Linked DNA regions of Ovis aries. The protein of the gene in region 2 purifies or fractionates together with the protein of the main gene of each other region. This does not show direct contact. Links are inferred from orthologs where the notes say so. Each region holds a gene or a part of one and is shown on either strand. Other genes may lie near its edges.

Region 1 (4,086 bases), on a different chromosome or scaffold from region 2:
TTTCAGTAAGAAAGAAAGAGGAAATTTTCAGTTTATCATTATCATTTTCATATAGTTAATGAAATAGTCTTTGTAAGCATAAAAAAATTTTCAATCTCTGCCCTTCATGGCCTAATAGTCTAAGAACATATTAAAGATAACTCTTAAGAGAAAAAGAATGCCTGTTATAATCCTTTATTTAGGTCAAGCATAAAGAGAATGCACGAACTAGACCTTCTTAAGCCCGAACTTCACAAATGAATTGAACTTTCTTGATGTGAGAGTTTCTTTTCCTTACATGTGCTGTTGTCTCCAAATATATCACTTGTTTATAGGATATCATTTACGATGCCCCTCAAGCCCACGTTATTTTGATTTGGGGCAAATGAGAAGACTGATTTTCTTCAACAGCCTAGTGGATTCAGCTTCCTTCTAGTTGAAATTATGTATGTGTGTGAAAGTAGCTCAGCTGTGTCCAGCTCTTTGAGACCCCATGGATACAGTCCATGGAATTCTCCAGGCCAGAATACTGGAGTAGGTAGCCGTTCCCTTCTTCAGGGGATCTTCCCAACCCAGGGATCAAACCCAGGTCTCCCGGATTCCTTACCAGCTGAGCCACAGGGGAAGCCCAGTTGAAAGTATAGATGCTAAAAATGTTAAGTCGAAGTATTTGTTTTTCTAATTAACTCAAATGCATTTAAACGAAGATAAAATTGAGGATTTACCTCAGATATCCCCTACCATCCCAGTCAACACACTGTAGCCCTCTTTCTAGTGTTGCTTGCTCCTTCCCTTCTTATCTTCCTGTGGGAAAATGGTTTGGGGTAGAAAGCAACAAACCAAATAACAGCAGGCAAATAAAATCAGCTTTTTTTCTTCCCTACCCAGAGAGGAAGGAGGGAGCAAGAACTCCACCATCAAAGAGAACCGTGGTTCTTAGGCATGCCGTTCTAGAAAGCCCTTGTTCCTTCAGCCCCCTTCCCCGACCCCTCCCAGCTCTGCAGTAATCCCTTAGAGATTATATAGTCTCCACTTTAAATATAAATATATATATAAAACTTCCCCCTGTCTCTTTTTCTCCTCCTCTTGCTTTTTTCCCCTGTTTCCTATAATAAAGTTTCCTATTGGATAAAATCAGCTCCCTGATTTATGCCTAGCTCCTATTGGAAGTTCTCAGGGGCTGACATCACTTAGGAAAGCGAGGGGGTAGGGCTGCCAGATCAGTTTGTCACCACCCAGGCTCCCTAGCCTTTGGCTGGGTGCAACTTCCATTTTAGGTGTTGGATCTGAGAGAAAAAAAAGGGGGAGAGAGAGAAAGAAGAGCCGGAAAGATCCTGAAAGGAGGAAGAGGTGGCGAAAAAGCAACTACCTTGCTGGATTTGTCTTTCTCAGCACGTTGACGGAGCCTTGGTTTTCTCTCTTAAAGAAGTGGTTTTCAGAAGTCCACATTTGAGGTGTGTGCCTTTTTAAAAAATATGTGTATAGACGGGTAAAGCAGGATAAGCCAAGTTGAATTTTTGTCTTATGGTAACCGAGGGAATTTGAAGACGAGAGGGTCTGTTATGCTGACGGGTAACTTTTAAACAATTATTAATTTTTCTTTCTACTTATTTGGGGGAATTTTGGTATTTTATCGTATTTAAAGCAAAGGGAGATATTCAAGACCCAGAAACAAACTTCTAGGTCTAATATAGGCAGATGAATAGATTCAGAGGGGTGAGAGCTGTTGCATAAATTTACATTTTGGTGTGGTCTTTGATTGTATGTGTTTTTTTTCTAGGCTGGGCTAACAAACTTCTGTTTTCAGAGCCCAAACCAAAAGTTGTTTTTTTTTGGCATTTTGTGTGTGGGTTGGGAAAGGAATTTGTCCGGGTCGGAAGCATACAGATGGTTCTTCATATGTTTCAAAACTTTTTTTTTCTGCCTTTTATCATTGAATTTGTGAAAGTGGAAAGTTGCAGGGAGCTTTGCAGCTTAAATAGTGATATTTTTCCCCTGGAGAGTTTGAACGGCTCAGATCGGTTTCAGCCCTGCTGTTCCTGGGTGGATCCCTCTTTTACTTTTTCAGGTGTGGTGGGTGGGAGCCTCTTTCGCCTTCTAGACTTAGCCTCTCTGCTTTGCCTTGTAAAAGAAAACAAATAGACCCTTGGTAACTGGATTGCCACCCCCTTCCTTCTAAAACTACCTTTGATGGCAAAGATTTGTGGAGGTGTTGTATGTTCAGTCTGCATATACAATAATGTCTGGTTTTCGTGCTTAAAGGGATAAGGAACCTCTAGCCATGCGCTTTAGCTCACCTGAGTAAAGTCGCACACAAGAGACATTTCCAGCTTTGTGCTCTCTGAAAGAGGCTGGGATTTAAAAAAGGTCAGGCTAAAACACTTAATACAGACCCTAGTGTTTAGGGTGTGTTTGGGAAAGAACAGGGGGAATTCTTATTTTTAAACCAATCTGAAAGTTGCTTTTTGGAGGTGCATTTTTGATTTGGTTAACTTGCTGTGAAACCAGAAATCTTTTAAGATCTGAAGGCCCATGGCTGTGCTTTCATATCTCATGTTTAATCTTAAGATCTGTTTTTGTTTTGCGCATACATTCCTGCAAAAATACTAGACGAGCATATAGCCGGCTCCTCGGTAGCTGAAAACTGGACGTTCCCTTCCTTCTCCGTTTGAAAATTCGAATCATCTGCAAAATTATAACTGCAATAGACACTGCTCTCATTGTGGCAGGATGGTCCTTAATACGTAAGCTGCTATTAGATTTAAACTGGCATGTATCTATAATAATCCTCTGATTCTGAACCCCCCACCCCACCCCACCCCTTAATTCTTTTCAGACTAGAACACTTCCTTGAATTTCTTTTCCAGGACAAGACTATTTCTTGAAAGATGATTTCATTCTTGTGAGGTTGTAGCTTCAGAGGAAACTGAACTTTGTCCCTTCTTTTAATCTAATTTATGCAAGGGCTACAGTAAGATTTTAATGTCTGGATCATCTAATTATAGCAAGTGCAGTTAAAAAGAAAGAGAAAGGACAATGTGTATATTTTGTGGGCTGTACTTACATCGTTTCCAAATTTTCGAATGCTCCCTTCAGCCTTGACTGCAGCCTAGGGGGGTTTCTTGGTGGATCTTTGGAGGATTGGTCATGTTGCTGCCAGAGTGTCAGTTTCCCACTCAGCCTTTAGGGGGAGGGATGAGGGAGTCTGAGCGAGTACAAAGGCAGTTTGAAAATGGGCTCTGGGTGACTGAGTGGTGGTGGTTTGGGTCCAGCTTTACACACTGGGCTTTGTATGGCTGCAGTGAGCATCCTCGCTGCAAAGCGTCCAGGACTGTCTCCAGGAACTGCGGCATTGTTGTGACTGGTGTGTGCTATTGGCCTTTTGGATGATAAGATGGAAGACCCGTCTTTTACCTCACCTCTGCTGGTTCTTCCAGGACATACAGGAAGAGTGTGAATAAGCAAATCTTTTACTTGTTGTTTTGCTCCTCACTTTGGTTTGGGGGTAGAAAATGACAAGTAAGCATGAGTTCTGCGGATTTTCCTGTCCTTGTTTGACTCCTCTGTGCTGTTGGTTTCTTTGTTATAAGACTAAGGTATGGTCTGTGTTCCAGGTGGGGGCCTCCTTTGGGTTTTTAGAGTCTTAATTCCTTTCTTAGGGTTCACTTTTGGAGAGCCAAAGGTGTTAGAACGCGTTCTTTCAGCTAGGATAAAAATGGGGACTGTTGGAAATCTCAAAAAGAAGCTCTGAGTAATTGCAATTTCAGCCTTGGGTTTATGAGGTAGATGATCTCTAGAGATGAGTGAGAGGATGGATGCAAATAAATTAAGCATAGATCATTCTTCAGTTGGAGTAACAACATGATTGGCTCGGCATAACCCCTCGCCTCCTGGCGCCCCTGCCACTGAGAGCCGGCCCTGCCTCTCCCACCCTCGACCTTGTTTTCTCAGTGAGTGCTAACCATTTTGCATGAACTATTAATTTCCTACAGTAACTTTCTGTCTGTTTTCTGGTTTATGTTTTGTTTTTTAAGGAATTTGAGCCTCAGAGAAGCTGAGGTTTGCTAAAAATTTCAGTGCTTGTAAGTGACCAGGGATTAAACCCTG
Region 2 (3,629 bases):
ATTAACAGTCGGTTAAGTAACTCCAGGCTAGAAGGACAGAGTCTAGGGAAGTTCTGGGCCTGCTTCCAGGAGCTCTCTGCCCCATGTGGGCTACCCCTCCTAGGGCTGGCAACCCTTATGCAGTCGCACCCCTCAGAGCTCTGGGCAGGGCCAACATCACACCACTGCCTGATCATGGGACTCTGGGCAAGGGACTCAGCTTCTCTGAGATCAGTCTACTTACGTAAAATGGGATAATAATACCGGATGAGATGGTTGGATGGCACCATCGACTCGATGGACATGGGTTTGGGTGGACTCCGGGACTTGGTGATGGACAGGGAGGCCTGGTGTGCTGCGGTTCATGGGGTCGCAGAGTCAGACACGACTGAGCGACTGAACTGAACTGAGTAAAAGAACGTGAAAACGTGCCACCACTATGCCAGAATGTACACAGCAGGTGTGCTCAAGAGTGGCTGCTGCTACTGCAACGGGAGCCACGTCCACCAGCACCGTCACGACCCACCATCGTCATCATGGCTCAGAAGCTTTGCACCCCAAATTCCAACTCCATCTTTTCCCCTCTTCTGCCCCAACCTATGGCCTCCTGGCCTTTGTAGATGACAGAGAATTCATCACAGAGCTACGAGGTGGGAGGAACTGAGGATGCAGTTAGATGGGAAGGAGAGTGGCAGGAGAAAATGAACTTGAGAGAAGGTCCACTGTGTTCCTCTCCTCCCAACCCTACTGTGGCCAGTGACACCAACAAGGATCATGCCCTGGGGTGGGGTTGGGATGGACATGACTCTGGGCTGGGAGTGAGGGTGCTGAGGGTGGACCCACCATGCGACCAGATGGAACCAAAGCTTCTGTGTTGGCCCACGTGCCACCGGGAGCTGGGCTCGCCCAGGGATGCCCAGGGAGGAGGGGAGGGAGCAGGTGGGCCTGGGGGAGGTGGAAGGGAGGGCATAAGCCTCCGCCCCGCCTGACCAGCTCTGGCTCACTGACCACAGTGATCACCCTCCTCATCATTCTGCGGAGGCGGCTCCGGAAGCAGGCCCGCGCCCACGGCAAGAGCGTGCCAGAGATCCACGAGCAGCTGGTCACCTACGATGAGGAGGGCGGCGGCGAGATGGACACCACCAGCTACGACGTGTCAGTGCTCAACTCAGTGCGCCACGGCGGGGCCAAGCCCCCGCGCCCGGCGCTGGACGCGCGGCCGTCCCTCTACGCTCAGGTGCAGAAGCCACCCCGGCAAGCGCCCGGGGCGCATGCGCCCGGGGAGATGGCCGCAATGATCGGGGTGAAGAAGGAGGAGGCGGACCACGACGGCGGCGGCCCGCCCTATGACACGCTGCACATCTACGGCTACGAGGGCGCCGAGTCCATTGCCGAGTCCCTCAGCTCCCTGGGCACGGATTCATCGGACTCGGACATTGATTATGACTTTCTCAATGACTGGGGACCCAGGTTCAAGATGCTGGCCGAGCTGTATGGCTCAGACCCCCAGGAGGAGCTGGTGTATTAGGGGGGCACAGGCCTCTGGGCCTGGGAGCCAGACCACTTGCAGCTCAGGCTAGTCGGACACAAGGCACTGAGGCCTCCAACTGTAGCACTGTCCCAGCCTAACAGCCCATCCTCGCAGGTCACAGAGACTTCACCACCTTGGTTGGCAAAAGCCAAGTTCCTGAAACGTCCAGGAACATATTTCAGCCATGGCTACTCCCCAAATGCTGGGAAATCAAGGCTGGTATGCTGTCTGGGTTGAGACATCCATATAACCCTGTCACCTGGAATCACCGGTCCAACTCAAAGATTCTCTCTGGCTCTTCAAAGCCGTTTATGCTCAGTTGCTGCAGGGGTTGGGGTGGGGGTCTTCCCTTGAGGTCCCTGAACCCCTTGGGGAGGCTGGGGAGGCCCTGGTGCCTGTCAGCCTGGAGGCAAAAGACTGGGCAGCATTACCGTGGGGCAAGACACTCTGTAGCCCTGTCCTACCAGAAACTGGGACCACCCATCACGCTTGTCCCACCTCACCCTCCTCACACGCTCCCAAGTGCCCCCGCATTCCTCAGCCTCTCCCCAGGCCTGTCAAGAGAGGAAAGGCCCCTGGACATCTCCCAGCCTTGGGTCCCGAGGTGACCTCGCTGGCCCGCTGTGCCTGCAACTATGCTGTACTGTGTATTGAAAGTCCAGCCAAGGTCATGGAAGCGGCTTGTTGAACTCTGAAGCAACTGTGAATTCTCCCTGGAGGAGCAGTGGGGAGCAAGTGTGACACCATATCATAGGGTGAGGGCCACCTTCACACCCACTCCCTCCGGAAGGGGCTGGGGGTCACTGTGACCCCAATTTGAGACATGACACCCCTCCAGTTTTGCCTGGGAAGCTGGGCAGGTGTTCCCAGAGCAAAAGACTCCTCCCCACCTCTCCTGGTCACTCGGTCATGCTCTTTTTTTCTTTCTGTCCATCTACTCTTGACCTCTTGGCATGGTGGCACTTCAGGTGTGACCCATGACTGCACAACAGAGCCGTGTAGTTTGTCTTCACGCCTCACTGCTGCCACATCTCAGGGAACCCCAGCAGGGCCCCCTCCCTGCAGAAGGCAAGGCCCCTGCTCAAGTCCTGTGGTCGCCTGTGTCTCTTCCACTTTCAGCCACATATGGAACTTTCCACTGCAGACACGTCTTGGGGAAAGGGCATCACTCAACAGGAGAGGGGAGAGGAGAAAGGAGGCAAATTCTCCAATTCACCCTCTGTCATGGACCAAGGCTCCTGCTGTGGGCAAGGCCCCTCAATTCAGGGGATTGTAGATAACACTGACTTTTAATCTTTAACTAATAACTAGGTTTTTTATAGTTTTTATACTAATAATACTTAACACACTTCTAGCTCTCACAGACATATAGAATAAGGGTATTTGCATAATTAGCAGGTTACTATTTAGGTTAACAATTTTATTTCGGGTATTTTAGTTGGATCAAGAAATTCCTGTAACCATCTGTTTCCTATCATTGTAGTAACTGCTCGACTAATAATGACTATATATATACATATATACAGGCTACACTGGTGCATGGAACCATGCTGTATTTTTTAAAATAACTAAATAAAGAAAAACCTTGAAATACGTCTCTTTCTAGAGCTAAGTGAGCTCATGAGAAATAGAAGCACATACATGCCACCACCAGCACCACCACCACCATCAGAGGAACCCAGAGTGCAAGGTGACACTTGCGGTCAGGACTTCAGACACACACTGTAGGAAAGTGACTGCAGCAGAGAATAACAAGAGACACCTCGTCCATCCTGGTCTCCTCCCAGAGGCCTGTGCCTTCCCTCAGCCTGCACATGCCCCCCAGTCCCACCCTGACTCTACACAACAGGCAGGGCCTCTGGCAGCTGAGCTGCCGCACCTTTTCCAAGTGGCAAATGGACCAGGTGGGTGAGATAAATCAGCAGTGAGGGAGGAAATCAATCTCTAATTAGCTGGCTAACAACACTGACTGAGCAGCTGGCACTTCACCTGGGTGTGTGAACCCCAACATTGACGTCCTGCCTGGAAATCAAAAATGAGAATAGGAAGCAATCAAAAACGAGAATAGGAGGCCTCCCTGACAGACTCAGGACTTGAATTGTGGAGGTGAGAGATGAAA

Evidence for each region. The genes of interacting proteins can lie anywhere in the genome.
Region 1: the proteins of CDH5 (region 2) and CTNND1 purify together in Homo sapiens (affinity purification with western blotting; 3 studies listed by BioGRID and IntAct, counting the BioPlex papers as one, with this or other methods). This does not show direct contact. The link is inferred for Ovis aries from reciprocal best matches to the Homo sapiens genes CDH5 and CTNND1.

What each region holds. Positions count from the first base shown.
Region 1 is NC_056068.1:79,778,579-79,782,664, forward strand, and holds the start of CTNND1 (catenin delta-1), read left to right. Parts: upstream 1-1,209; 5' UTR 1,210-1,433; intron 1,434-4,086. UniProt on the Homo sapiens protein: Key regulator of cell-cell adhesion that associates with and regulates the cell adhesion properties of both C-, E- and N-cadherins, being critical for their surface stability.
Region 2 is NC_056067.1:33,733,228-33,736,856, forward strand, and holds the end of CDH5 (cadherin-5), read left to right. Parts: intron 1-992; coding exon 993-1,507; 3' UTR 1,508-3,103; downstream 3,104-3,629. UniProt on the Homo sapiens protein: Cadherins are calcium-dependent cell adhesion proteins. They preferentially interact with themselves in a homophilic manner in connecting cells; cadherins may thus contribute to the sorting of heterogeneous cell types.